4 linked regions of the Canis lupus familiaris genome follow. The protein of the gene in region 4 interacts with the protein of the main gene of each other region in a biochemical or structural test. Links are inferred from orthologs where the notes say so. Each region holds a gene or a part of one and is shown on either strand. Other genes may lie near its edges. The genes, in order: RPS6KB1, MAPK1, AKT1S1 and RPTOR.

Region 1 (7,686 bases), about 32 Mb from region 4:
GTTAAAGAGGTTCACCTTTGAGAATCTTAGATGGGAAGGGAAAGAGATAAGTAGGAAAAGAAAAGCTTGGGGTGCCTGGCTGGCTCAGTCGGTTAAGCATCCAACTTAAGGACACTTAATCTAGGGGTTATGAGTTCCAGCCCTATATTGGGGTAGAGTTTACCTAAAGAAAAATTGCAAAGCTTATTCCAAATCTTTGGACTCTGTACCACCCCACAGTGCCTACATCCCCAAGGGAATAAATCTTAAAAAAAAAAAAATTTAAAAGCTGTAGTCATAAGTTGTTTGGTCGGTTTAATTTGTACTTATTTTTTAAAAGATTTTATTTATTTATTTGATGGAGACAGAGAGAGAGCACAAGCAGGCAGAGCGGCAGGCAGAGGGAGAGGGAGAAGCAGACTCCCCACTGAGCAGGGAGCCTAATGCCAGGCTTGATCCCAGAATCCCGGGACCATGACCTGAGCCAAAGGCAGACAGCTAACTGACTGAGCCACCCATGTGCCCCTATTTGGCTGGTTTTAGATTGGTGAGATCTGAGCATGCTCATGTGCTGAGGGGAAGTTGCCACTGGAGAGGCAAAGGTTGTTAACATAGAAAAAAGGGCGGAGAGCAAAGTCATTCCCTATTAAGATGTGAAGAAATGGGGTTCAGACACCATGTGGAAGAATGGCCTTGAAGAGGAGTCAGAGTACAGGAGAGGACTATAGATGGATCACACATACCTCCATTTTCCTCCTCACTAAAGAATCTTTCTTTGGAAGATGCTTGATATGCCTCATTTTCTCGTTCAGAGCAGAGTCCTTGGGGACAGTGTGAGTCACTATACAGAGCATCAAATACTTCAAAACCAATCTGATTGCCACACTGACCAAGTTGCACTGTTACTACTGACATGCTGAGATGCAAAGTAGACCTATTCCCTCAAAAAAGTAAGCAACCTGTAATAGAAAAACATAGGCTTTGAGAACCATTACAGTACTAATAAACAAAGAACAAATAAAATGTCATATGTACATAGATTAAAAAATTAATTTTAAAATGCCATATAACGTGTTATAGATTTAACAGGTATGTTGTCTAAGCAGCTAATCATTCAAGGAAGTTGTTTTCTTTCTCTACGTAGTTTTGGGATTTGGAATTTACTGTACCCAGATGCATTCATAGACAGCTCAATAGTTACTGAAATCTGATTTGTATCCACTGTGTCCCTAAGCATGCATTTTTAAAAAAGATATTTATTTTATTTATTCATGAGAGACACACAGAGAGAGGCAGAGACATAGAGAGAAGCAGGCTCCTCACAGAAAGCCAATGTGGGACTTGATCCCAGGACCCTGGTGATGGCGACCTGAGCCAAAGGCAGGCGCTCAACTGCTGAGCCAGGCAGGTGTGCCCCTAAGCATGCATTTAAAACAAAACAAAACAAAACAAAACAAAACAAAACAAAACGAATGTTAGTTGAAGCAATTCCTAGTACGTACTTTACACTACTGGGACACACAAAACGCAGAAGTTAGCTCAACAATTGCACATTTAGGGGATCCCTGGGTGGCACAGCGGTTTAGCGCCTGCCTTTGACCCAGGGCGTGATCCTGGAGTCCCGGGATCGAGTCCCCGCATCGGGCTCCCTGCATGGAGCCTGCTTCTCCCTCTGCCTATGTCTCTGCCCCTCTCTCTCTATGTCTATCAAGAATAAATAAATAAAATCTTTAAAAAAAGAAAAAAGAATTGTACATTTAATTAACCTTCTCTCTCTTCTAAATAATGACTTTCTTTCTCTACTGATCACCTTCTGCCTGGTAACTACAATAACATAAGAAAGACTGCATTTAGCTTAGGCAAGAGAGCAAGGGAGACAAAGCTTGGAAAGAGAGGGTCAGATGAAATAGGAGAGCAAGTCTTCACCACTTTTAACAACGAAATGAGACAATTTTTGGTAAAGACCTCACACCAGGTTTATGCAGCACTGGAAAGAGCAATGATCTTCGAGCCACACTGTACTTTTAATTTTCAAACAACCCTGCAAACTAGGTATTCTCATTTTATAGATAAGGAAACTGAGGTTCTGAAAGGTAAGTTTCTCCCTTTCCCCACCAGTCCCAGAGGCTCCCCATAAACCCCACTCACTGACAGACCCAAAACCAGCCGTCTCTCCGCTCTGTTCAAACTTCAGAGGGCCAACCCCCTCATTATGCGCATGCTCACTTTCAATACCAAAAAAAGCTATGGAGAACTAATGCGCATGTTCACAAACGAAGAGTTTTGTTGTGGGTTCCCCCCCCCCCCGCCCCATTCAGAAAGGTTAATTACGCATGTTCAATTTCAATTTATCAACTTCAGACATGGCACGCATGCTCATTGCCCATCAAACGCTTTGGCCAACAATGCGCATGATCTAGCTACCATAAGAGGCTTCGACGGGGGTTCTGCGCATGTTTCTGCCAGCACCCGGTTCCAGGCGATAGCTCTACGCATGTTCATTGCCCACACTTAGGCTTCACAGAACCTTGTACGCATGCTCTAGCGCTGAACTTGAGGAGCCAGTCTAGGGCCTAGGCGCAGACGCACTGAGCCCAAGCAGCCGGTGATGGCGGCAGCAGCGGCGGTGGCTGCAGCGGGTCCGGGCCCATGAGGCGACGACGGAGGCGGGACGGCTTTTACCCAGCGCCGGACTTCCGAGACAGGGAAGCTGAGGACATGGCAGGAGTGTTTGACATAGACCTGGACCAGCCAGAGGACGCGGGCTCTGAGGATGAGCTGGAGGAGGGGGTGAGGCCCGGGGTCCCGGGGGGCCCGAGGTGACAGGGCCGGGGCGGCGGCGCGGGCCCTGGAAGCCCGGCGCGTCCGAGAGCGCGGAGATCCGGGCGGGCGCGTGTAGTCTCCAGGAGGAGCGTAGGCGCCGCGCGGTCCGAGGCGGGGGAGCGGGCGGGGCGGACCTGGCACTAGGTGTGAGGCCGCTGCGGGGCTCGCAGGTGCAGGTCGCGCCGGTAGCCCCAGATCAGCGCAGCCCGGAGCAGTCTATTCGTGGAGGCGGCGAGAAGGGGTGCGTGGTCGATTCCTCGAGCTGTGGAACTTCAGTGTGGCGGGGCGCGAGAGGTGTAAGCGCGTGTTGGGGGGAGGGGGACTGCGCTTTCTGGGTGTCCCTGAAGTGCAGGTGAAGTGCGGAAGGGTTTCCCTTCGGGTATAAGATTTCATATATTAAATCTTCAGACCTCCCACAACCACCTCTCTTCTCGGCCTGTCGCTTCTCTCCTAGGAAGCGCTCAGCTGTTAGAAGTGACAGCTGAAAACTTCTGTCGGGAGTAGCGCTGCCGCTGCTGTTACAGCCACCAGGAGTTTTATTTCGGGAGCAAGGGGGCTCTGCTGCATCTTCCAGGGTTTGTTTGTTTGCTTTTTTTTTTTTTTTTTTAACCCCCCCTTCCGTGTGATTTTTTTTTTTTTTAAGCACTTAAAACGACACACGGTATTTGTAACTTTTCCCCTAGTTGAAGATGTCTACATTTTTTCGAAATACTTTGTGTAATTTTGGGGTGGAAAAAAACCAGCGTTGACAGCTGTGATTTGGCTTGCCAAAAATAAATTGCTTGAACTGAGACTTGTGAATGGTGGTGTGAGGGCTTTCCTTGCTGTAATTTAGGGTACTAAATTTAGAATTGTTTTTTCCTAATACATAGCTTGGTTTTACCATTGATGTCTTAATAGTTTGTTATTCTTTATGGAATAAAGAATATTCTTTTTTCAAGATAAATTTACTGAAAAATCAGAAATTGTGCTTGAAGTTCAAAAATACTGCTGTCATACTACATCACTGATTGTGGGCAAATGATCATCAGTGATAACCTCATGATAATTTAGGTTCTGAATCCCACTGTCTAGGTTAATACATGAGTTAAGGACGGGTGTCAGATATTTGCTCTATGTAAGGGGCTTCCCTTTTCCTCACCTGATTTTCTCTTCTGGAAAGTAAGTTGTGCCCTGCTTGTTGCTAGATCCAGGTACTATAAGTAAAGAGCTTTGGATATTTTAAGAAACTAAGTGGGCTGAAATAATATTATTCTTTTCATAATCAAATGAGTCTAAATAAAAATCACATAGTGTGTAAGGTAAGTATTGAGATGTGTACTTTTTAATATGTTTGCGTATGGAATTCCAGTTAGCCTTTTAGTGGAATACCTGATACACTACATACAATTTGAAACAAATATGGAATTACTTTCACTATGTATTGCATACTCTCATTAACTATATTGGCTCCATATGGCAGTGGCTTTGGAGCAGGGCAGGAGAGAAAGCTGGATAATTCAGGAGACATTAAAGCCCTTGGAAGTAAAACACTGAATTAAGATTTCTTTTAAGAACTGGGACCTCCTTGGGTGCCTGGGTGGCTTAGCTGTTGAGTGTCTGCCTTCCTCTTAGGTTGTAATCCCGGGGTCCTGAGATTGAGTTCCACATTGGGCTCCCTGCATGGAGCCTGCTTCTCCCTCTGCCTAAGTCTCTGTGTCTCTCATGAATAAATAAATAAAACCTTAAAAAAAAAAAAAAAAAAAAAAGAACTGGGCCCTCCTTGAGATGTATTTTTCACCTACTCATGTACATTCATTTTGCTGGCAAATGCAAGCAAACAGGTTTTTGAGAGTGTGTGGAAGAGGAGGCCAGAGAAATTGGTAGAAATATAAAAGAAAAAGAAATATGGCCTCTACCCTGGGAAGGAGAACTTTGGAGAAAAAGCAAAGGTAAAGAGGATTTTGAGGAACAGCAAAATACATCTTACTTAGCAATGCTTTTTGGAGTTGAAAATATTTTTTTTTGAATGTTATTCTAAGAGGTTCCTCAAGGTGGACAGACAAGCAAAAAGAGTTGAGAATGGGATTGAGTTGGCCAGTGACATCCAGATATCTCTAAAATAAAATTTTAAAATTCTAAAGGATGAGAAGCTTAGATTCTTGGAAAATCTGGCTATTTGTAAATATACATTTAGTACACACACTTTTTAAAATATCAGTGCACATTAGAGTAGTCCCACTTCTTCATTTTATAGTACAGAAACTGAGGCATAAAACAGGTGATTGCCCAAGACCATATAGATAACTAGTAGTTGACTAGTAGTGTCTTCTGACTCCATTCAGCCTAAGACTTCACTGCACACCTTCTTCATTGTTTTTACTAGTCTTGTTCATACTGTACTTCTTTGTGGTATGCCAAGTTCATTCAGATCCCTCTAGGCATTGTCACTGTATGACCTAGAATAAATTGCTTAATTTTTCTGACTTTTTTTTTGTTCTCTGCAAAATGAGGATTATGTGAAATAACCATATAAAATACTGCCCTCTTAAAATATTCTGGCATATTAAGCAGTTAGCTAGTTCATGGAAATACAGCTTGTTGGTGTTACTCATTGCAAAGGAATCAAATGTTCAGATTTACCCTCATGTATGCCTAGAGACTTAAATGCAGTTATACCAGAGGTGCTACATTTTTGAAACTAGGATTTTTAAATTTATAAATATATGCCTTTTTAGATATGTCACACTGACTAAATTTATATTAGCAAATATATGTATTTATACAGCATAGTTAATTCTTCATTGAGTAAAGCAAAAGGACAGTAAATGAATGCATTTATGGATAAAGTTGAATGTCTGTTACCTAACTTTAAAAAAAGACCCTGTTTGGTTGGTTTTTCTTAAGATTTTATTTATTTATTCATGAGAGACAAGAGAGAGGCAGAGACATAGGCAGAGGGAGAAACAGGCTCCCTACAGGGGAGCCTGATGTGGGACTTGATCCCAGAACTCCGGGATCATGCCCTGAGCTGGAGGCTGATGCTCAACCACTGAGCCACCTAGGGGTCCCAAAAAGACCCTGTTTGAATACTTCAGAGGACTGTGTTAAAAAGCAATGGGTAAGAGGGTTTTTTGGGGGAGGGGAAGCTGGCTGGGTAGGTCCAGGTCTTTTTTGTTTGCTTTTCACTGGTGATGGTATGATTTGGGGAGACTGAGTTGAAACTGAGGGCAAGTTTTCCTCTAAAGATTTTTTTTTAAAGATTTTATTTATTTATTCATGAGAGACCCAGAGAGAGAGGCAGAGACACACAGGCAGACGGAGAAGCAGGCTCCCTGCAGAAGCCCAATGTGGGACTCGATCCTGGAACTCCAGGATCACGCCCTGGGCCAAAGGCAGATGCTCAAGCACTGAGCCACCCAGGCGTCCCAAGGATTAGACTTTGCTTTTTTTTTTTTTTTTTTTGGATTAGACTTTTCTATTACTTTTAACTTTGTGTCTCCACAGAAAATAAGTTTCCAATATCTTCATAATCTAATGAAAATCTCCAGAGGAGGGGTGCCTGGGTAGCTCAGAGGTTGAGCATCTGCCTTTGACTCCGGGCGTGATCTCGGAAAAGTTTAATCCTTAATTTTTACTAATTCAAAATTTGAAGTACTCACAGAAGTTTATTGCATAGGTTTCAGGTTGGAATATCAGATTTTTATTGGATAAAAAGTTTACAGTTTTTTAGTGCTTTGAAAAGCAGTGCTAGAGCAAATATTCATGGTTATGAAACATTACAGAAAGATCTCTCATCAGTACATATCTTGCATTACAATAGGCAAACAGCTCAAGATTTTGGGCAATGTTTACTCCTTTTCTTCCAATTCATTGGGTTACTGAGTCTTATTTTGTAAGGAAATGACTGAGCAAACAGGCAAGTAGATAAACAGTATAATGAATATCTGAATTAAAGATATTTCACCTATTCTTTAACAATTTATTTACATTTTTATGAAATTTTCCGTCTTTTTTTTTTTTTTGAAATTTTCCGTCTTTAATTGGGATTTTAGGCATATTAACTTGAATTTTTATACAATATTAATTTAGAACTTTGGAAATCGTTTGGTGGGCTGGTTTGAAACATCTTGTAAAGTACCTTAGATGAGCAGGATTCACTTTGTCAATCATAGTACAGGAAAAAAAAGCATTGGATGGGTCATAAAGCTTAAAGCAGCAGAAAAAAAAAATCTAACTAGAAAGTTTCCTATGAAAGAGAGTTGTCTATGTATTATGTGATGTTAGCCTGATGCTTCTGATGTGAGATTTTTCTGAAGGTAACATGGAGTAGCAGAAAAGCATTGTGCCTCAAATGCTTCTGCTCTAGAAGGTAACAGTAGGAAGTTATAAACACAGATGCAGGTGGTAATACAGGCATGGCTGGCTCCGGAAATGAAACATAGCCACAGGGCATATCTTTCTAGGTGGCTTCAAAGTCATGGTTTAGTGTTAACTACTCTGTGGTCTTTAATTTAAAATTAAGTAAAACTAACACTAAAGTAAAAACAAAACAACAACAACAACAAATAAAGTAAAAACAATTATATATTACCAGTTTTATCGCATTTAAAAGAAGTTAGTCTTTGGTCTTTAAAAGTGAAGCCATCGTAGGTGATTATGTGAAGCACCAGAGATGACCAAACCTTTAACCAAACCTTTAACCATAACTACCACTGCCCCCAAAAGAAACTGTTTCAAGTTGAAACTGCAAGAACTTTTTTTGCCCTTGTACTGAGGCATCCATTTAGTTTAATCTTTTTTTTTTTAAGATTTTATTTATTTATTCATGAGAGAGAGAGAGAGAGGCAGAGACACAGGCAGAGGGAGAAGCGGGCTCCTTCTTTTTATTTTTCAAAAAGATTT
Region 2 (7,244 bases), on a different chromosome or scaffold from region 4:
GTGGAATTTCTCATGACATCCAGCATGTGGTTTACCACATAGATTATCTCATAGTTGTCTTGAAGATTAAGGATGAGTGACGTGCAATAAGGGGAGTCACAGATGGGAGCCAGAGCTGAGTATCCACACTGAGGCATGCTCACACATGTGCACACATGTCCTCTCACGCCTCTGCTTTCAGTCACCTCAGGCAGTAAATTGCTGCTTTGAACTCCCAAAGAGAGATTGACTTCCCAGCACACAAGTGGTCAGTCACTTAAGATTCTGACTGTATACTGGCTGCTCTCACGGGTTGAACACAGCTTTTAGTGAATAAATGATTAAAATGATTTTCCTTTACCATTTTACTCTCAGGACTTAGTGATATGTGCTAATTTGCAGATGAATGAGGTTGACAACCTCATAAGTTATCACTGATAAACCAAGGCTTCATTGAGTAGATGGCAATGTTTTCATTTTTTGTTTTTATTTTATTTTTTAAAGATTTTATTTATTCATGATAGAGAGAGAGAAAGAGGCAGAGAGACACAGGCAGAGGGAGAAGCAGGCTCCACGCAGGGAGCCCCATGTGGGACTCGATCCCGGGACTCCAGGATCGCGCCCTGGACCAAAGGCAGGCGCCAAACCACTGAGCCACCCAGGGATCCCCCGGTTTTATTTTATTGATCACCATTCTGTTTTTTTTTTTTTTTTTTTTAAGTATTCCCTTTTTTTTTTTAACTTTATTTATTCATGAGAGAGGCAGAGAGACAGGCAGGCAGAGGGAGAAGCAGGCTCCATGCAGGGAACCCAACATGGGACTCGATCCTGGGTCTCCAGGATCACACCCTGAGCCGAAGGCAGGCGCTAAACCACTGAGCCACCCAGGGATCCCCTTGATCACTGTTCTTTAAAAAAGAATGTTCTTTTTATTCCCTAGTAGTTTTTCAGACTTGGAATGGATTATCAGACTTGTTTCTTGGAATCCTTGGATTTTTTAGGGGTGCCTCAGAACTGTGAGCTAGGACTTAAGAAAGATGGATAGCGGGATCCCTGGGTGGCGCAGCGGTTTGGCGCCTGCCTTTGGCCCAGGGCGCGATCCTGGAGACCCGGGATCGAATCCCACGTCGGGCTGCCGGTGCATGGAGCCTGCTTCTCCCTCTGCCTATGTCTCTGCCTCTCTCTCTCTCTCTCTCTCTCTGTGACTATCATAAATAAATAAAAATTAAAAAAAAAAAAAAAGATGGATAGCTCCTTACTCCGTCAATAGCCTTGAATTTGAGAAAAGGACCTGCTTTGGAAAGGACATGAAGTGGAAACACTGTTCTAAGCATTGTCAAGTAAAAGCAGACACTTTTTTTAAAAGCTCCCTTTGCTGCTGCTTTTTTTTTTTTTTTTTTTTAAGATTTTATTTATGATAGTCACAGAGAGAGAGAGAGAGAGGCAGAGACACAGGCAGAGGGAGAAGCAGGCTCCATGCACCGGGAGCCCGACGTGGGATTCGATCCTGGGTCTCCAAGATCGCGCCCTGGGCCAAAGGCAGGCGCCAAACCGCTGCGCCACCCAGGGATCCCCCTTTCTGCTTCTTTACCAGAGCGATAATGTCTTTTCTAGCATGTATTCTTTCTCATTGAAATCTGCGCCTGATACTAAATGCAGGAAGTGTTCGGTCACGTTTCCCTTAACCCGTGTTCTAGCCACTGTCAGCCATGACCTTTGGCTTTTCTCATGGCTTGAAGTAGTGCCTGGACACTAGCTATGGAGGCCACCAGGGTGAGCTAATCATTAGCTGTCCCTCCATCTTGATCTGGTTGATGCTACACTTGCTTCCTATTCCTGTACTCTCTACACAGAAATATTCAGCTGCTCACTACTGACCAGATCAAGAGAATACTTAGGGGTTGCTTGGCTGGCTCAGTCAGAAGAGCATGTGACTGATGTAGAGGTCATGGGTTTGAGCCCCATGTTGGGTGTAGGGATTACTTAAATAAATTAATAAACTTTAAAAAAAAAAAAAGAGAGAGAGCATACTTTTGTTTTGGGCCTTGGAGAAAGATGCCAAGCTGCAGAGTGGGCCAGGGGGCCTGTGCTTCACACATGGATCTCAGCCAGGACCTGGAAACCACACAGGAGGACAAGTGACCATTGTCTTCTGTGACCTTAGAGGCCTTCTTTATATGTTGAAAGATAAACTGACCATTGCAGAGAGGACTTTGGATTTCAGAGAAATACATATATAACACTTTACCTTCAGATGCCTGCAAAACATAAGAATGGTTTAGGGGAAAAAATCCAGGTTTTGTAGGAAGAGTTGGGTTTGAACCCTAGGCTTCCACTTTCAGCCTTTGGCTGATCACATCACCTTTCTGAGTCTAGGTCTGCAATTGTTAGATTAGCCACAGTCTTGAGAAGCTCAGAGAGGTAATAGGCACCCAGTGTGCTGCTGGCTCTTCTCCCCATAGTGATGCTTAGTTCCATTGTTTCATGAGTCAATTTAAACAGGAAATGGAAAGTAATCAGTAAATGTTCCTTTGGCTTCTCACCACTGCAAAACCTTTCTCTTTGTAGCTCTGGATTTACTGGACAAAATGTTGACATTCAACCCTCACAAGAGGATTGAAGTAGAACAGGCTCTGGCCCATCCGTATCTGGAGCAGTATTATGACCCAAGTGATGAGGTAAGACCTATACCCTGGCTGCTGCTTCAGGAATATCTATCAGGCAGCAGTAGGCCCAACCAGGAAGGGCCCAGATGTCACGTTAGATTGGTTCTGAGAAGTGTATGATGCCACACCTGGTCCTCTCAGCCTGCATTGTCTGCTTGAGGACTAGTACTGTCAGCACAGCTTGAAACCTCTCCCTACCCCACCCCCCAAACCCCTTCTGTCTCAGAAAGCTTCCTCCAGGGCACCTGCAGCAGAGGTGGGACTGGGGAAATAGATGAGTAAAGGGGAGCACGAATAAACAGGCAGTCCAAGGCTAGAGACCATTGTCATGGTCTGTGGCAGGAAGAGCTACCTCAATCACAGTGCCTGTCTGAGGGTGGAAAGGAGGCCAACTGCCTGCTTGGAGAGGGGCATTGCAAGGGGGCGGTATGCCTGGTATGTGCCTGGTATGCCTCCTTAGGTATGGGGATACTAGAGCCTCTTGTGGTAAGAAATGCGTCCAGAGGTGGATGTGGCAGGCCTCCAAAGCCAGGTAAAGATCCTGTGTGTAAAAAAAAAAAAAAAAAAAAATCCTGTGTGTCATGTTTATCTCTAAGAAAGTCCCAGTTCCTTAGCCTCTTGGATTCTTCTGGGGCTTTATTCTCTGGATGGTAATGAAGAAAAATGTAGTATGAACCAAAGTTTGGATCTTTCTAGTGGAGGCTCATGCAGAGACAGTAAGCTTTCATAAGAGAACCAAGCGGAGTGTGTTAAAAGGAAAAATGGAAGAGGAAAAGAAAAAGATATAAAAGTTAAAAACTGATAAATGAAAGAGAAAGAAGAAATCAAAAAGAGGAAGTATTTCCTAATTAGCCCCCTTCCATCTCTGTCCCCTACCCTCAGAAATAATGGAGGCAGCTTACAAAGATACCTACAACATAATAAATAATAGGGAAGGAGGGGAGAGTGTAAAGTTTGGAGCTCTGACCAGCCCTATGAGCCCCCCGTGTCCTAATCACAAGCCTAGGTGGTACTCCAAATCCAGTTAGCAGGTGGGAGGACCAGAAGGATGGCATATGTGGGACACCATTGTGACCTCACACATACAGCTGCCCTTCAAAGAGGGCTAACTACTTGTTTTTCTCTTGTGGACACGAATCCTTTTCCCCCTTTCAAAAAACCAATGCTTAGTGCAGAGTTGGTGTCCATGTTTCCTTACCCTGAAGGCCTGGTGTGAGGATTACATGGATAAAATCTAGGAGTGCCTGGTAACTAGGCATCCACTGATTGATAGCTGGAATCCTCATCAGATTAGTTGTAGAACATTGTGTTAGTTTGGAGGTACTTAAAAATCAAAATATAAATAATATCAATTGACTGATTTTCTTTTTCACCATTGTATATATGGAAATTCTTTGACATAGTCATTTTAAATATGTACTTAAATATTAAATAGCCTTCTGATTAGTCATAGGTTGTGCTGAAAAGTAAAAATGAAAACTTGCAGAAAACTATGACAGATCATGTTGTAGTCTTGTTACACAGATATTAAGATTTTGGAGTATTTTCTTCTCAGTCTAATATTTCTGTATCTAAACTTTTTTTAAAAACAGGGTTTTGTTTAACACAAACATGCACATTTCCCCATAATATTATTCTTTCTTACGGCTTCATTTTTAATGACTCCATAGTAATTTTTCATATGAAGATAGTATAATGTATTTAATCAAGTATTTGATTTTGAGTATCATGGCTTTTGATTGTGTAAACCTATCCCCACAACAGCAAATTTCTGTTACTTCAATACTTAGTGCCTTAAAATTTTTTTTTTTTTTTTTTTTTTAAGATTTTATTTATTTACTCATGAGAGACACAGAGAGAGAGAGAGGCAGAGACACAGGCAGAGGGAGAAGCAGGCTCCCCGCAAGGAGCCGGATGCGGGACTCGATCATGGATCCCAGAATCATGCCCTGGGCCAAAGGCAGATGCTCAACCACTGAGCCACCCCGGTGTCCCAGTGCCTTAAAATTTTGAAAATGATTTTGGGATTAGTGGTAAATTCAGAAGAGTGGTCAAAATAGATTTAGTTGCTCCCCGTGCATTTACTGTATGTTCACAGAAAATGTGCCTTTTGGATCACGTAGATGGAATACGGGTACATAGATACTTCTCAGAGCTTTTGGGTTTCCAAAGATGTCAGTGCTACTATATACATTTCAGAGTTGAATCCACATACATTATGAATCAGTACATGACTACCTCAACCACAATCACTCTTGTCTACTCCATGTTCTTTGCTCTCCTACAGCCCATCGCTGAGGCGCCATTCAAGTTTGACATGGAGCTAGATGACCTGCCCAAGGAAAAGCTCAAGGAGCTCATCTTCGAAGAGACAGCTAGATTCCAGCCGGGATACAGATCTTAAATTTATCAGGTACCTAGAGTTTTAGTCGCACAACAAACCCTGGTGAGGGAGAGAGAATATAAATTAAATGTTATTAAAAAGAAAGGGGAAGCCTGGGTGGCTCAGTGGTTGAGTGTCTGCCTTTGGCTCAGGACATGATCCCAGGGTTCCGGGGTCAAGTCCTCCATCGGGCTCCCCACGAGAAGCCTGCTTTTCCCTCTGCCTATGTCTCTGCCTCTCTCTCTCTCTCCCTCTCTCCCTCTCTCTCTCTCTCTCTCTCTCTTAAATAAATAAATAAATAAATAAATAAATAAATAAATAAATAATAAATAAATAAATAAATAAAATTTACAAAATATTTCCTTGAGTTCCACATGGAAGTTTCCTTTGCTTAAGTTTTAAAGGGTGGTGAGCAATGTTGTGGTATCGGTAAGATTTCAAAAAATTGTGTTCAAGAAAAAGGAAATGCAGATCTTGATTTTAGAGAACATACAGAAAGAGGAGAGAGAATAGTGTGGGAACTTGGGAGTGAGAATTGTGTTCAACTCTGTAGAAATGAGCAGTGAAGTTGAGAATCACAAGCAAGGGCCAAAGCATTTGCTGGAGAAATGCTTTGACATACCAGCCTCAGGGGCTGGAGCAGTGTTGTGTGCTGCGTGCCCACAAGTGTCCATGGAGCTGCTGCGCTTGCCTTGGAACTGGAGGCTCCCTGACAGCAGAAAGAGAGGAATGGGTTCTGTGGCAGTATGCATCTAATACAACCATATCTCTGCTCCCCTCTTCCCTGTTTTGTCCATTGCATTTTCATATGATGGTTCAGGCTGAGGGCAGTACTGAGGCTCCAAGTAGAAACTGCTTGGGGTTTCACTTGGAGGACATACAAATGGTCAGAGGTCATTAGATGTAACCGCAGGAAGCTGTTCCTAGCCTCCAGCTAAAGGAACAAAAGTCAAACTGTTTTCCAGGGTCCTTGATCATCACACAGCAAGGGTGCTGGGCAGCTGCTGTAACTGCAGCTGTTAGATTATCACCATTGCTGAAAAGGGGTCAAGAGCCTGTGCTGCCACTGATGTGGGGGATCTCTGGAGCCTAAAGCCATCATTACCATCCTTCCTCCTAAAACCAGGAGTCTCCCTCCTAAAAAACCATGTATCGGTAAGAAGCAGAGAAAAGGAAACCTGTTTTTTCCTATATGTGCCAGCCATTGTCAGAACCTCTCAGAAGCCAATCACCAGTGAAGTCCAACAGTGCAGTGACAAGCTCCCAGCACTGTCATTAAGGACAGAGGACAGGGGAAAACTAGAAAGGATATCTGAGAACAGACATGGCCAGCTCAGCTTCAGAGAGCTGTGGAAGCCAGGCAGAGTAAGGCTGGGTTATTAACTGGTAGAGAATACCACTACCAGTTAGTGGTACTAACTGGTTAGAGTACCGCTACTCTACTAATGGGACAGAAAATGGAATTTTCAGAAGTCTGGTATCCAAGTATGGAGGGTTGGAGGAGAAGCCTGGATGGGAGATGAGCTCAAAATGAATCTTCCAGACCAGAGGGCTAGAGGCTAGGATGAGGGCTGTGGAGGTGAGAACCATTGTGTTCAGGAGAGTGGAGGGAACACAAAGTCTGAAAGACTCCAAATTTCCTAACCCTAGCACCTGGGGGCCAGGAGATCTTAGCCTGACACTGAACATGTCCTAAAAGACAAAGCATGTAAAGTGTGGAAGAAGTGTAGGCTTACAGGACATTAGGAGAATACTGATAAACAAGCCTTTGGGGAAGTGTCTGAATGAGAGACAGAAGGTGTTAGGAGGCTGAGTAGGAGTCTAGCAAGGCTTGGATTCATTTATCCTTTCATACCTCTTGGTGTGATAGTCTTTTAAAGTATTTGTTATGTACAGTGATCTGCAAGATCATTTACTGACAGGTCAGACCCCAGGACCAACCATTTTCACTCCTTATATTGAGTCTCCTTCGGTTCTCCTTTCTGGTCCCTCTGCTTGGTGCTCACAGTGGAAGGGGTCCTCTCTCTCCCTTCCTGTGACTGCAGGAGGTCAGATCAGCTGCCTGCGGTTTTGTAGATAAAGTTTAATCTGGCCCTATACGAGAACAGGTTTGCTGACCCCTGGCCTAGAATAGTGAGCTGAACTACTTCGGTTGCTTTTCTTCTTCACAATCCCTTTAGCAGCTCATTTTCCTGAAGTCTGTTAGTGGATTTTGT
Region 3 (7,837 bases), on a different chromosome or scaffold from region 4:
CCTCTTTGAGTGTCTTATAAAATGAGAAAAATAAACTTGTCTGTTAACTTGTCTTCCGCCAGATTTTGTGTTCCCTGGAGCTAAGCGTATTCTGCGTGTGTGCCTTTTCCACTGCAGTCTACCTCAGCGAGGTTTTTTTTTTTTTTTTTTAAGATTTTTTTTTTTTTAATTTTTATTTATTTATGATAGTCACAGAGAGAGAAAGAGAGAGGGGCAGAGACATAGGCAGAGGGAGAAGCAGGCTCCATGCACCGGAAGCCCGATGTGGGATTCGATCCCGGGTCTCCAGGATCGCGCCCTGGGCCAAAGGCAGGCGCCAAACCACTGCGCCACCCAGGGATCCCAGGATTTTATTTATTTCTTCATTAGAGACACACAGAGAGAGGCAGAAATGTAGGCAGGAGAAGTAGGCTCGCGAGACTTGATCCCAGGACCCCAGGATCACAACCTGAGCCAAAGGCAGACGCTCAACAACTGAGTCACTCAGGAGCCCCCCTCAGTGGGTTTGTGTTAGTCAAAAATAAGATTGCCGAAGAGGACAGTCACATTTTCAAGAGAGGCACTCAGCCGACCTGCGAAGCTGACAAAAAACGCAGAATGCTCGATGCTTCCTCCTCAACCCTGGCTTGAGCAGAATTCTGGAATCTCCATTTGTCTCACACACACATACACACCCTCGCCAGGTTATTCAAACCCCCACTGCCCCAAGTGAGGCTTCATTCTCTCTACCCCTGGTACACCATTCTAACCTTCTTCCTGACCTCCCTGCCTCCAACTTCCCTCTATTCGGACCTGCCCATTCCCAGCACGGTCTCTCAGGAGAGCTTTCCACACCCACACCCTTCTCCTCCCATGGTTCCCCGAGGCCTCTAGAACATCATCCAAGCTTCCCAGTCGGGCATTTCAGAATCAACCATCTTTCCAGCAAACTGCTCTACAGAGACACCCCATTTCCTCCTGCCATCCCTGAAGTATTTTCTTGCTCCCTTATCCTTACGGTTCCAGCGCAATGTCTGCTTCCTCCAGAAAGGGGCAGGCCTCTGGAATCAGAGAGTCTGGTATCAAACTCAAGTTCCAACACCTCCTAGCTTTTTGATCTTGCAAAAGGAACTTCCAATCATTGTGCCTCAGTTTCCCAAAGTAGAATGGGGGTGAAGACTGAGGCAGGGTCCAAGTCAGACTCCTCTCTGGGTCCCAGCACAGAGCCTGGTGACAAAAAGCCTCAGGAGCCTCTAAGAACAAGAAGGGCAAAGTCTGGCACCCAGGGTAGGAAGGTGTCCTGGGAAGTGGGTGAGCCACCTGGGTCAGGGTGTGTTTCCTCTCTGAAGGGGACATGCCACACCCCTTCAGGCTCTTGTGGACTGAGAGCTCGTGGAACCCGAATCCACAGGCCACGCCGTCCTCTCGCACCCTGGCAGGGCTCTCCTAAGAGCAAACAGATGAGGGGGCAGCTGTCCCCTAGGCTACAAATCTCATGGTGTCAGCTTTCTTTTGATCGGGCATCTTCAGCTCCATTTTACAGACAAGAGGAAACCAAGGAGCAAAGAGAACCTAGATCCCAACAAGGATCACACAAGCTCCAAAAGTAAGTCTGGGTTTGCATCCAGGTCCTTCAAACATCTTCCACTGCCTGAACCTGGAAAAAAGCGAGTGGAGAAACGAGAAGAGAGAAAAGCCTACCTTCTTGGAGAAGAGAATTTGGGTGGAATCTCCAGCCTCCTCTACAGGAACCCAATGCAGGAGAACATCGCTGTCCTGAGGAAAGAAAAGAGGAATTAGAGAGACTCCCCTCCAATCACCGCAAGCCGTATTTCTGTACTTCTTCCCCGGCCCGGACCCTCAGGCTTACAAAGCCCCCCTTATACCCCCAGTCCGCGCTCCCTGCCTTCTTAAGGTCCCATCGTGACCTCCTAGATCATACTCCTATAGACGCCGCCTCCATCTCGCCCAGGGCCCGCCGGAGCCCTGCTCCCTCCTGGCCCACCTTCTCCACAACGCGGATGACGCCAGCGATGAGGGAGTCCGGGTCCTGGTGCTTCTTGGCGCTGGTGTGCAGATACACACCACCCTTCTCAAACACCACCTGCGGACACAAATCGGTGAGGGGCGGGACCCAAGCGCAGGACAGCCAGGGGGCGGTGCCCAGAGGAACGTCCCAGCCGGCGGGGGCGGGGCCACAAGGTAAGGGTCTTCCCTAGGGCAGCCGAGGGGAGGGTGACAGAGTATTTATAAAGGAATGGTGTCTTTGCTCCGGCTCAGCCGGGCTCCCAGAGCTCCGGCAGGGCGTTGGGCGAAGCCGACTACCAGAGGGCGTCGCTTCGCATCCCCAGGAGGGAAAGAACGCGTTCCCAGTGCTTACCCTGTAGCCGGCTCCCTCCATAGCCGCGGCCGAGGTCCCACTGCCCCGGCCCTCTCCCTTTCCGGGTCACCGTGCTGTCACATCCGGATAGGAGACTCCCCTCAAGCCTGGACAGTGGTAGCGCCCTTGCCTGTTCTAGAACAGGAGTGGACGTAACCACCTTTCAGAACGGGGTGGCTGAACTTGAACCACGAGGGTGTAAGTCACATGGCACGCACGGGGAAGGAGGGGCAGGCCAGCGAGAGTGCGCATGCGCAGTGCCGCTTCCCTTACCATGGAGTAAACAAGGGGGAGGATCCAAGGGCTCCACCCCCTCGCCCCAGCGCTCTCCGAAACACCTCCTTCTTTCTCCATATTGTATACTGGCATCGAAGCCAAGGAGATTCCATTTTGCTCGAGGGCACGGCCAAAGCTTGTCAGCTGCGGCCATGTTAATGCGGGGCAGTCCCATCTCTCTGAGGGGCGCAACAGCAAGGTCCTGGAAAACAGACGGGTAAAGGAAAAGAAGGTGAGAGGAGGCGTACGTCACGAGAGGTGCTGAGGGACTTGGGTTAACGGGATGAAGCCGTCAGTATCCCCGGGTACGAAGCGGACCCAGTCGAATTCCTGAGTCACCGTCGGGAGGCGGCGGTGTAGGCCGCCATATTGAAGCCTGGCAAAGCGAAGCAAAAAAAGTTGCCATATTGGATCTTCCCCAGCATTGGTGCTGAAAAGGGGGATAGGCTGGAGGGAGAGTCCATGTACGCTTTGGGCAAGTGATGCTAGGATGGTTGCCATGTCGTTAATGGGCACTACTTTCCTCCATTTCTGTGGAAGAAGTTGACAATGGGTGAGGGGCGTCAGGTCGCTGGCCTTAGTTTACTGTGGTCCTGAGAATACACGTGCCGACGGCCGTATTTCTTAGCAAATCGAAATGGTCTTGGCTTGTTTCCGAGCAAGCTGAAGCCTTTCTTTCACCATCTTTCTTATGGGCACCCTGCTGTCGCCACTGTCCCACTGTGATCCGGTGATGTCCCCGTGGTCATTATGGTCTCGGGCGGCCCCGATAAGGGAGGCGGAGTGTGCAGCATGGAGGAGGGCCAACCACGCGGAAGTGACGCGAGGCGCCGCCATGTCTTTTGAGGGCGGCGACGGCGCCGGGCCGGCCATGCTGGCTACGGGCACGTGAGTGGAGGCGGCGTTGTGAACCGCGGTGTGGGGAGGATTTGGCCGTCCGGAGGAGAGGGGCGCTGGGAGGGCGAGCCGCTCGCGGGAGGGGTATGGCCTGAGTAGATCAGAGGGCAGAGATCTTCCAGCGACCCTACGCTGAGCGCTAGGAAGGGGTAGCCCGCGGGAACCGTTGTGTCTCACTGGAGGCAAAACCTAGACAGACTTATCCTCCGGTCTGCAGACCCACTAGGATCCTTGCCTTGGCGTGGACCATGTCCACAGGGTCTGGGGGTTGCTCGGGGGGACTCGGGGCTCCCCTCACCCGTCCAAAGGCGGGACTTCCGGTCCTGGCCCCCCACCTGGGCGGGATTTCCTGTTTTCTTCCTAGAGAAGTGGGTCCTCCCTGGACCCCCGGGCGAGGTGGGGAGAAGGTTTCTGAGAGGTCGAGGAAGAGCCCAGGCCTTCACCTTTCCCCCGGCCTCGCGGGGTGGGGGCTGGGGGGCCACCCTCGAGTTTCTCCCACTTTGGGGCGGGGGTGCACTGCCAATTTGACAGGTGGTCGGAAGGGGGCTTAATTAGCATTCCTCCTTGCGTGGTGGACTTTGCCTCTTTCCTCACCTCTTCCTAGAGTTACTTCTTTCAGTTCACCTCCTCATCTCATCCTAAAGGGCCAATTACCTTAGCTTTCCCCTCCCCCTCCTCTGGGGGACAAGTCTCACCTCTCTCCCTAATCCTAGGCTCCTCAAATTGGTTGGCTGAGGACCCTCCGTCCATCTCTGAGCTCCTTAGAGGATACAAGACTTCCTCCAGCAGCTGAAAGGGTAGAGTCTCCCCTGGTCTTGGCCACTCTACTTTTAAACAACTAATGCCAGAGAGCCCCCAGGCCTTGGCAGAGAAGTTGAGTTGCCCTCCTTGTATTTGCCCAGTTCTCCTCCTCTTTACAGTGGGAGGACCCTCACACCCACTCACCCCCATTACACTCTTTTCAATCCTGTAACTACTCTAAGATCTAGGACAGAGAGTTTAATCCTGATGTCCCAGAGATGTGAAAGCCCTAGGCCTAGCACTGCCAGGCTGTGTGACCTTGGGCCAGTCATTTCCCTGCCCTGAGCCTTGGTTTCCTCCTTCTGGTAGGTGAGACCCTGAGCACTTCTCAGTTCTATTGGATTTTGGAGTCAGGCAAACAGCAGAGTCAGCCCTGCTCTGACCCATTTAACTTCTGGGACTCTGACCAATGCCTTAGGCTGTCTGAGCCTCACTTTCTCCATCTGAATGTAAACCTTTCCTGATAAGGAAGGCAAGATGGCATTTGGGATTAAGAACAGGCTCTCCTCTCCAGCCCCTTTTACCTCATCGAGATACTGAATCTCCCTAAGCCCTTGATGTGCAACCATGAAATAGGGTAATAACAGCCCCTGCCTCATAGGGTTGGGGAGAAGGTAGCATGAGAATGGTGATGATCCATTTGCATCCCTGCCTGGCATGTGGGAAGTGCAGGGTGAGTTTGCCATGGGGTCTGTCAGGAATGGTGCTGGTTGTGACCTCACTGTGTGTGGCTTCCAGCAAGGGCTTTGTACTCTATGGGCCTTGGCTGTCTCATTAGTGAGGTAACAGCTCCCACCTTAGTGGGTCAGGTGGGAGGTGAAATGAGAGGTGTAGACTCCCTACACAGAGTCAGTGCTCAGCAAACACTGGTTCATGTGATTATAAGTTGAAAAGGGCCTGCACATTGAAATCAAATAACCCTGGCTGGACTAGAACCTTGCTTGAATTCCTCCAATGTTGGGGTGCCCCCTACCTCCCTGAGGAGGCTTCTTGGCTTCCCAGCAGTCCTGGTTTAACCACTTTGATTTACAGGAAGAAGAAAATGAGACACAGAGAGGGCCAGTCAGTGGTCCAAGGTCACACAGCAGGTTTGAGATGGCCGGAAGCCAGCCCACTTGCCCTTGCTCTTTTCTCTCTCTCTCTCTTCTTTAAGTTTGTTTATTTATTTAAATAATCTCTACACCCTTTGTGGGGCTCTTGATTACAATCCCAAGATCAAGAGTTGCATGCTCTTCCAGTTGAGCTAGCCAGGCACCCCAACCCCTTGTTCTTTTCATTTCATAAGTAGATGCATCCAGTAGATTGTCTGCTTAGGACAGACCTGTTCTGGGGTACAGATCCCCGACCTTGGGGAGCTCAGATGTGTGATGGAGGAGGCAGACAGGTACAATTGTCACAAGCTCAAATGACAGTGAGGTATAATGGATGTAGCCCAGGGCATTGTGGGTCTAGGGAAGGCATCTGGCAGAAAAGTCTTGTAGGAAATACAAAATTTCATGGATGGAGTCTAGGCGCAGAGAGCAGCTTGCACACCATTTTCTGCTCCATCCCTGGTCTCTGAGGCCTGTCAGGTGCTGGGCAATGCTGGCGGCTCAGAGATTAATCCCATGGGCTCCCCCTCAGGTGGCTCCACAGTGGCTGGGGAGATGGAGGTGGATCCAGACAGTACTCCCCATGGGAATATGTGCTAGAATGGAAGGACTCTCAGACATTGTAGGAGTCCAGAGAGTGGGGACTGAGCCCATCTGGGATGAGGGGAAGCTCCTTCCACGCTAGGGTGAGAGAAAGGTCAACAAGTAATCAGGGAACAAGTTATCCAGGTATAGGGGGACCTGGTATAGGGGAACTATTTAACTGCAGGTCTGAGGGCTCAGAAGTCTGGAAGGTTGTGAAGCTGAGTGCAGAGCCGGGGTTACGACCATGTCCTGGGGATACTAGGGAGAGGCAAGGGCAGTTCCAGTGTAGGAGGACCCCAAGGGGCCCGAACTGGAGGCTCAGAGGTTCAGGAAGAGGCTGGAATGATTGTCCCGCAGAAAAAGAATGCAGGCGAGGCATATAACTTCAAATCTTCTATAAGCTGCATTAAAAAAGTCAAAGGAAAACAGATAAAAGTCATTTTCGCCTTATATCAACTAGCCATTATATCTGAGATGTCATCTTTTCCACATGTAATCAACCTCAGACTGCCAGTGAGATCTCTGACATCCAACCTTTTTTGTCCCAAGTCTTCTAAAATCCAGTGTGGGTTTCATACTCATGGCACCTCTCACCTTGGACCCGCCACATCTCAAGGGCTCCTTAGTCACACAGGTGGCGGGTGGTGCCCACATTGGACTAGGCAGGGCCAAGAGGAGGGGCGGGGGCTGTCGGTACTGGGCGTGGCGGGAGGAATGGGTCCGGAGGGTTGGGGACGGTGCTAGGAGGTGTGGATGGTGGGGAATGTGGAGAGTGGCAGATTTCGGGGAAGGGGCTGAGCTCAGCCGGGACCAGGTGGCTGGGAGGGGTGGGAGCGGCGTCTTGGGGCAGGTGGACACGTAGGGGCCAGGTGCAGACAGGGCAGCCAGCCGGGCCTCAGCTCTCTGTCCTGCTCTGCCCTGCAGGGCGTGGATGGCGTCGGGGCGCCCCGAGGAGCTGTGGGAGGCGGTGGTGGGGGCCGCCGAGCGCTTCCGGGCCCGGACAGGCACGGAGCTGGTGCTGCTGACTGCCGCGCCGCCCCCGCCACCCCGCCCAGGCCCCTGTGCCTACGCGGCCCATGGCCGTGGGGCCCTGGCTGAGGCTGCCCGCCGTTGCCTCCACGACATCGCCCTGGCCCATAGGGCTGCTGCTGCTGCCCGGCCCCCCGTGCCCCCGCCAGCACCACAGCCACCCAGCCCTGCTCGGAGTCCCCCTCGGCCTGCCCCGGCCAGGGAGGATGACGAAGAAGACGAGGAGGAGCGGACAGAGACGGAGACCTCTGGGGAGCGGCTGGGTGTCAGCGATGATGGAGGTGAGAGGGGTGGGGGCTGGGGTAGCTCTTGGGCTTGGCAAATGGCCTGCAAGGTCAGAATCCCGGAGGGGTGGGCCTCGCCTATCTCTGTGCCCGGGTGTTCTGTGGCAGCCTCAGGCTCAAAGAGCCTTGGGGGAGCAGGCTGGCTTGACCTGGGCCCTGCTGTGCGACTTGGAGCAGGTCATTTCCCCTCTCCCAGCCTGTATGGTTACATGTTAACCGGGAGCCAGCTCTGTGCTGGGAGGTGCTAGACACAGACACAGAGCCAGCTTCGGCCCTTTTCTTGAGGGACTCCCAGTCCTGCCAAGGAATTGGTAGTCCAATAGGAGACCGTGCCCTGTGGCGACCATGGGGTCGGAACCTGAGCTGGGAGCTCGAGCAGAACGAGTTATTTCAAATCTGGGGTGCCTAGTGCTGGTGAGAAAGGTAGGAATTACAGAGGAGTCAGGAATGCAGGCCACAGCTTAAGGGAGCCACGGGGAAAGCAACTGGCTGTTTTGAGGGGAATCAGGAGGTTG
Region 4 (7,244 bases):
GGACTTGATCCTGGGACGCCGGGATCATGCCCTGAACCGAAGGCAGACGCTCAACCACTGAGCCACCCAGGTGCTCCTGCGTACCTGCCCTTGAGACAGCACCACACTGTCCCCATTCCTGCAACTATGTAGCAAGGTTTGAAAACGGGAAGCCTGAGTTGTTTATTTTGTTTGTCCTTTATGATATTTTTCGTAAGCACTATTCTGGGACTCCTGCATTTCCATCTGAATTTTAGTCTGAGCTTGTTAGTTTTTGCAAAAAAAGGGGCAGCTGAGATTTTCACCAGCCTCACGTGGACTCTGTGGGTCTATTTGGGGACCTGCTGTTAAGAAGTCACCCGACCCGTGAACATGTGATTTCTTCCCATTTGTGTAGGTATTTACTCTTTAAACGCTTTGGTTTAAGGAATGTTTGTTTTAGAGAAAGAACATAGCTGACAACCAAACATCTGTTGGCCCCGGTGGTTTACAATCCAGCGGTGATTTACAAGACACGCAGGCGCCTGGCATGAGGCCAGCAGGTGGGAAGACAGGCAGAGGGGCGGAAGTGGCCCCCAGGTGGCAGGAAGTGGGAGCCCCCGTCCTCCTGGCGTGGCCGCGTGGAAGCAAGTGGAGGGTGCTGGCTGTCTCCCTGCCACCCGACCAGACACTTCATGCAGCTGCCATCACAAAGCGAGCACCTGGTCCATCCTGCTGATGCCGGAGGGGAATACACATGTGTTTGGTTTCCAAGCGAGCTTTCCAGGAAAGAACCAGGGGCCTGTGTTTTAGGAACTGGAGACCATGTGACCCCGGCTGGCCTCCTGACACAGTTCGGGCTCACCGCAAACTAAGCTGATGTGAACCGGTGTGAAGGTGCGCCCACGGCAATGTTCAGGCTCTGTGTGCCTGGAGGTTTATGTACAAGAAGAGAAAAAGGAGAAGTCGTTTCTGTGCAAGAGTATTTGAGGATATGAGAAAATGTTTGATATTCATAACCACGTAAGTGCAAAAAGCAGCACACAAAGCTGTACGTGTGTAATAATCCCAATGGCAGGAGAGAGAACTGTGTGTGTGGGAGAGAGATGGAGAGACAGAGAGAGATGGAGAGAGAATTACGGGGGACTTCCATTTTATTTTACGTTTTCATTTTCGGAGTTAAAAAAAAAGTTAAGTACACTTAAAAAAAAAACAGCTTCCTGGATGTGCAGACCTAAGCAAGTTCTGCATCTACCCCCGAGCACGGTCACACACAATCTTAAGTTGGGTCAGGGTGTAGGATCCGCGCCCTCTGCCTGGAGAAAAGCCTTCACTCTGCTCTTGGGCCTGAGTGCGTGTTAAACCGACATTCACTCGGCATATGAGGTCTTAAAACAGTCTGACTCTTTTTAAAGCTCTTTCTGTAAATAAACGTTATAGTTTAATCTGTTCTAAATCATGACACTAATAGTTGTGTTCTCTACAAAGTTCAAACAGTCTGAACGCGTATAGTGTAGAAAGGATAGTCCCTGCCCTCTGGAAGCAACGGTACGGGGCCACGTGGGTGGCTCAGTCAGCTGGGGGTCCGACTCTTGGTTTTGGCTCGGGTCGTAATCTTGGGGCCGTGAGATCGAGCGCTGTGCCGGGCTCCACGCTCAGTAGGAAGTCTGCTTGTCCTGCTCCCTCAGCCTCTCCCCCAGCTCCTGCATTCTCTTTCTCTTTTTCTCAAACAAACATGTAAACAAACCTTTAGAAGGAACAGCATGAGCAGTGTGATGTGTGGCCCTGGAGGCCTCCTCCCGTGCTCGTGCACAACTAGGCACCATGGCACCTGTGCGAGCATTTGGGACCATCGGATTATCTACCTTCGCTAACAAGGACTCCACACGTGTCCTCAGGCAGGGCGGCTCACGGTAGGGGCCGTGCAGCTCTATCGCACGAACACAGTGGTCTTAACTCGCGCTCCTCCTAATTAATGATGGATTTTTTGTTTTGTTTTATTTTCAACTTTTTGCTCTTACAAATCATTTTAGTTTTTTAGGATCTCTTTCTCAGAAGAGGGCTGTGGGTATTTTAGGGCGAAGCCATTTCTGATTTCGAGAACCACCAGTGAACTGCTCTACAGCAAGCTAGCGTTTTACCACCAGCAACAGTGGCGGAGAGCTCCTATTTCCCTGCACTCCCGAGAGCCCGCCTCTGGGTAAAATCAGTCTCCACTCTGCCAACCTGAAGGAAAAAAATCTATTACTTTTGTAGCCAGAATAAATCTCAATGTATCTTTTTTTTTTTTTTTTAAAAGCACATGACAGGCGGTTTTTAAACAGTCTTTCCAAGGCAGATGCGAGCCCTGTAAACCAGCGGAGGGAGGGGACGGTTCCTTCCTCAGTCACGGGAGAGCCACCTCCGGAACCGTTCTTTCTGGCCATGCAGACCTGAACAGAATCAGGCGGTGAAGAGACAAAAAGCCAACAGAAAGCGTCCTGGCCGCCACGTTGTGGGCCCCCCGGGCCCCCCAAGCGCGAGCTGCGGGATGCTTGTGAGCCATCACGCGGAGGACAGTTCTGCTCTCTGAGGCGGTTTAGGGCTCTGACTTCTGAGGTACAAGCCTAGCTATGAGCTGTTCTTAGTTTATGTGTGAAACAGGCTGATAAAAACGCTCCTAACGCATGTATTGCACGCATGTCGTTAGATGATGAATTAACTTAATAAAAGGACACCCCTGTGAACGGCACCCAGAAAACAGGGGAGAACAACTTTTAAAAAAATTACAAAGAAATAAAAATGCATCTTCTTCTGACATTTAGAAATGGTTTCTAGTTAACGCGAGGGAGAAGTTACTCGGGCGCCGGACCACCTCACATCTTAGCCGCCACCAGCAGCTACGGACAAAGGCCATCGCGACGGGCTCACCTCCGACCGGGAGGCCTCGCGCGTCACTTCAAGTGACCATCACCCGAGAGCCTGGCAGAGGGTTAGCAGGACTTCCTGACCGCCTCCCGCGGGCCAGGTGGGAGTGACACCGGCGAGGGCCCTCCTTCCCAGGCCCCCTGCAGCATCCCCACTCCGGGTGTCACCCTGTCCCCCCCTGACCTGCAGCTACAGAGGGACGGGGCAGGGGTGTGGGGTGCGGGTGTGCCCATGAGAAGCACAGGAGCAAACCTCAGGCCTGCGCTCAGGAAGCGGCCCTGCGGGGGCTGACGCCACTGCCCCCGCCCCAGGTGGCCAAGGACACTCACTGGTGAGAGGACGAGCCTGCGGACCTATGCCCCTCCTCCCTGCTGTCACCAAGGACGGCAGGGCCGGGTGCCTCTCAGACGGCCCAAGGAGCTGCTCATCACCCTAAGACAACCCCCGGCAGGGCAGGCCCCGGGCCCTAACCTGTTGGCCTCGCTCCCGTGAGGAGGAGACTGTCAGGGAGACTGAGCTCCTGCAGACCTGGACAAACCCTTGTCCCTCAGAGCAGACCAGACCAGAGTTCTAGGGTCGGCCTGCTGCCCACGGCCGCAGCTGCTGCAAATTCCAGCATCTGCTCGCTCGCTTGCTCCCTTCTTAGCGAGGGGCCCGGGTGGTGGCAGTGGGCAGGGCGCAGAAAGCCCGAAGACCAGCACAGGCCGTGGCCGCCCCTTGCGCTTGCTGCATTCATACTTTTGTTCTGACTGTAAAGCAGCTTGGTGCTTAGTATGGAAAACACAGGGGAGACAGCCGTGGATAAACACGCTAGGTGCCACGCCTACACGTCACCCGCCACCTGCCATGGGGCGGCTGCTTTAGCGTTTTCTGGGCACAGACGGATGTGCACAGTGTTTCCAACGGGGATCTCCCTGTAGCCAATTTATGTCCTGCTCTTTTCCCTTTTTAAAAGTTTTAGCATATTTCCTTAAGATTCCAATTTTAAAGCTTAATTTTTAAAACAATAAGCATCAAATATTTCCTGAGTGTTAAGCCCTCCTCTCCGTGCTGGGCCTTCAGGAGGATCCTAGATTTCATGAGATAAATAACACCCAGATCATCCACGACTCTGATCATTTCCTTGGGTCGGTGTCTCAGCAAACGAGTTACCAGGTTGAAGGGAACGGCTGCTCATGGCTTCTGACACTTTACCGCTAAACCGTTTTCTGGGAGTCGGGTTCAATTCAAAAATGGAAGAGAGATGTCTGCCTTGTCAGCAAAGGGGCTCAGCAAACTAGAACTCTGTCCTCTGCCTCAGGCACGGACAAGGACCGCCTTGTGTTTTTATCAACAAATAGCATCTTTATGGGCAAAGAAAAGCAGGATGAGAGTTGTCATAAAGGGTCCAGGTTACTCCTCAAGGAAACTGCTTGGATGTGTAGCTTGATACACAACCAAGAGTAAACCATGATTTCAATGGTCTTTACGAAAGAAGAAGAAAGTTTTCTAAGAATGTGCTTCATGGGAAAGTCGGCACTCCTGGCGAAGAGCAGCAGGACAAAGCGCTGCTGGCCCCACACTGACCCCTGGACATGCGGCTTGGATCTGGCACGACAGGACACGTCTCCCGTCAGGGCCAGGGGAGAAGGACACCTGAGTGCCAGGCTCCACAAGCGGCCCGGGCGCGCTGGAATTAGCCCCAGCAGGCAGGTCTTCGGGACAAGCCTGCTCTCCGGCCGAGCAGCCAGAGCCCACGCCCCGGGCCGTCCTCACCAGGAGGGTCTCCAGGCCTGGCGGCCTTGCCGAGTGGACAGATTCAGTTGTCCTCTGAGAGGGCAGGCTGCCTTGGTTTCTTTGAGAAGACAGGAGGGTAAATGAAGTCTGTTCCTTTTGCTGTTTTGACTGTTACATCAGCTACCATGACGGCCGTCTAGGGCGCCCATCAGTAGCTGTAATGTGACGGGTCAGGAGCCCCAGAGGGTCGGTGGCTGGGCTGGCGGGAGCCACCGAGAGTGACCAGCTGGGTCTGGCCATGAGCAGGGGGCTCAGACAGCTCAGGCCAGAGGTCGAGGCTCCTGGGGAAGGAGGGGACGGAGGGAGCCAAGGCAGGGCTCTGACCGACTCCAGTGTCTGTGCGAGGGCACAGACGGGAGGCCCACTTGGTACCCGGAGCGGAGGCGCACACTACCTTCATGACAGGCTGGGCGAAGTACCGGGCGCTCCAGTCACAGAAGCCAGTCTGTGTTGTGGCCGAGACAAAGCTTCTGTGTCCAGCGGCATCATCTGCATCGTCGGTGGTCTTCAGGGGCGTTTCGGGGGGAGGGGGAGAGAAAACAGGAAGAACAGTCACACACTCCACACACTTGTTTGTGAGCTCGAGAGGACTTGCAAGGAGACAAAAGGCAGTGGTCTGGCTGCTAAGAACGTTTCTCTGCTGGCCTCGCTTCTGCATCCTGGTGGCCAGGGACTCTGAACGCATGGCCAGGGCTCCAGGGAACCTGTGTCAGGGAGGGCCATCAAATCTGTGCTCAGGGGACCAGGTTCCCTCGGGGCCGGCCACAGTGGCTTGGGATGCAGAGCCTGTCACTCTTAAATCGGATGCTCAGGCCAGGCGCCATGAGGTCAGCAGGGCCTGAGGCCTCTATGGCCTGGAGGGCAGGGGCTTCTGGCACCCTGGCACCCACCTGTGCAAAGTAGCTCCTGCACGGGAGGGACACGCAAGTATCAAGACCTCAACTGCTTGGTGCTGCTCTACTGGACAACACATTTGTTTCCCACAGCACGGCCTACGGGGACCAGGGGGGCGAGGGTGGGAGTTCGCATCACTGTACGAAGCTGGGCACGGCAAGGCCCGCGATGCACGGGGGGGGGGGGGGGGGGGGGGGAACGGAAGGCGTCCGTCAGAGAGGAGCCCTGTTATCCAGGGGAGCCTCGCCTGGTGGAAAGTCTGACAGCTGGGACTCAGTGACAGGGTCTCACCCCCGACTGCTGTGGGAACCTGCGCTGCTCTGCTGGGCCAGGCTCCTGGGCTCCCGGCCCCCAGGGCAGTGAGCGCCCCCTATGCCCAGGTGCTCCAGTCTGACGGACCCATGTCAAGGTCCTGCCAGGAGGACGAACCTCCCACCGGGCACTTGTGGCCATGTTTGCTCCACCCAGTACGGCGGGAGGCCTTGAAAGCCAGGGCGGGCGAGGGGCCAGGGGCACGTGTAGAAACTACCACCGTATGTGCTTTTGCTCCAGTCTCCACAGCAGCCTGGCTCCCTTGGCGTGTCCTGAATGGCCCCTCCAGACTGCGTCCTTGTCCAGTAGAGCGGCACACCGTCTGGACAAGCGGCCAAGGCCACAGCTTATGGGTTTACAGCAGCCAGGCCAACGAAGACACCAATTCCTCCCGCGCCTGGAGTCTCTTTCCAGCTTTGAGGCAGAGACTGCAGCTCCTTATGTGGCAATAACAGGATGTTTGCGGAGAAAGCAAACAACCCACTCGGAACAGGCACTTCTGCACGGCAGCTGCCATGTCCAGTGGAGGAAAATGCTACTCAGCCGCGAAGGGAGAAAGCAGATTAGCTCCATGTGCTTACTTGGCTACATGGAAGGTGCCGGAACAGTGAGCCGACAACAAAAGGCCCCAGAAGGGAGGACCCTGGGACATCTGCTCAGCCGTGATGGGACAAACTGAGAGCCACAGCTGGGGGTGCAGGCTGTGGAGGCCCCCCCCCCCCCGTCCTGGTGTCAAATCTTGGCTCACACTGAGGGATGTGATGCTCAGCACCTACACTCACTAGAATGGGTGCCAGGGAAGGGTTCGAGGGTACCTGGTCTGGGCCCTTGTCAAACATCTTCCGCGTGCGGGGGAACTGCTGAGAGTGGGGCGTGTACTGCACCCCAGCGGGGCCAGGGGCACCAGGACGGCCCGCGGGCAGGTCTCGGCTGACTGGCTGCTTGGCCACATCGTTGGTCAGGCTGGAGCTGCTGGCGCTGGATGTTGGCGGGGAGCCCCTGTCAGTAGGGGAAGAAATGCTGTGCTTTACCCAAACAAAATACCCGGTCCTCATGCCACCCACCTAGATACTGCCAACTGACCTAGTTCAGGGCCCAAAACATCCTCACATGCCCGACACATCCCTATGCCTCCAGACTGACACCAGCCACCCACGCTGATGGCCCTTCTGGGCCCTGCCTGTGGGTTCCAGTTGTCGTTTCCCTGGAAAGCCAGGGTGGCCCCAGGCACGCTGCACACAGCCTAAGCAAACCAGCCAGGGCCTGGAGGGCGTGGGGGCACACATCTGCTCGCTGCTTCCTGCCTGTGGACACTGACCTAAGAGGGGACTCCGCCTGCTGGTGACCGGCTGGCAGGGAACAGACCCTTGCTTATAGAATTCTGCTTGGCGGCAGAA

Evidence for each region.
Region 1: of the proteins of RPTOR (region 4) and RPS6KB1, one has a biochemical effect on the other in vitro, tested with the Homo sapiens proteins (6 studies listed by BioGRID and IntAct, with this or other methods). The link is inferred for Canis lupus familiaris from reciprocal best matches to the Homo sapiens genes RPTOR and RPS6KB1.
Region 2: of the proteins of RPTOR (region 4) and MAPK1, one has a biochemical effect on the other in vitro, tested with the Homo sapiens proteins (2 studies listed by BioGRID, with this or other methods). The link is inferred for Canis lupus familiaris from reciprocal best matches to the Homo sapiens genes RPTOR and MAPK1.
Region 3: the proteins of RPTOR (region 4) and AKT1S1 interact in a biophysical measurement, tested with the Homo sapiens proteins (2 studies listed by BioGRID and IntAct, with this or other methods). The link is inferred for Canis lupus familiaris from reciprocal best matches to the Homo sapiens genes RPTOR and AKT1S1.

The regions. Positions count from the first base shown.
Region 1 is NC_049230.1:34,350,596-34,358,281, forward strand, and holds the start of RPS6KB1 (ribosomal protein S6 kinase beta-1), read left to right. Parts: upstream 1-2,524; 5' UTR 2,525-2,628; coding exon 2,629-2,769; intron 2,770-3,285; exon of another isoform or gene 3,286-3,377; intron 3,378-7,686. Other genes in the region: TUBD1 (tubulin delta chain), read right to left, coding at 723-894. UniProt on the Homo sapiens protein: Serine/threonine-protein kinase that acts downstream of mTOR signaling in response to growth factors and nutrients to promote cell proliferation, cell growth and cell cycle progression.
Region 2 is NC_049247.1:31,189,412-31,196,655, reverse strand, and holds part of MAPK1 (mitogen-activated protein kinase 1), read left to right. Parts: intron 1-2,547; coding exon 2,548-2,657; intron 2,658-4,932; coding exon 4,933-5,049; 3' UTR 5,050-5,058; intron 5,059-7,244. UniProt on the Homo sapiens protein: Serine/threonine kinase which acts as an essential component of the MAP kinase signal transduction pathway. MAPK1/ERK2 and MAPK3/ERK1 are the 2 MAPKs which play an important role in the MAPK/ERK cascade.
Region 3 is NC_049222.1:107,359,625-107,367,461, forward strand, and holds the start of AKT1S1 (proline-rich AKT1 substrate 1), read left to right. Parts: upstream 1-2,655; 5' UTR 2,656-3,326; coding exon 3,327-3,523; intron 3,524-3,531; exon of another isoform or gene 3,532-5,421; intron 5,422-6,933; coding exon 6,934-7,319; intron 7,320-7,837. Other genes in the region: TBC1D17 (TBC1 domain family member 17), read right to left, coding at 1,681-1,755, 1,985-2,083, 2,360-2,380. UniProt on the Homo sapiens protein: Negative regulator of the mechanistic target of rapamycin complex 1 (mTORC1), an evolutionarily conserved central nutrient sensor that stimulates anabolic reactions and macromolecule biosynthesis to promote cellular biomass generation and growth.
Region 4 is NC_049230.1:1,877,861-1,885,104, forward strand, and holds part of RPTOR (regulatory-associated protein of mTOR), read right to left. Parts: intron 6,847-7,244; coding exon 6,663-6,846; intron 5,147-6,662; coding exon 5,036-5,146; intron 1-5,035. UniProt on the Homo sapiens protein: Component of the mechanistic target of rapamycin complex 1 (mTORC1), an evolutionarily conserved central nutrient sensor that stimulates anabolic reactions and macromolecule biosynthesis to promote cellular biomass generation and growth.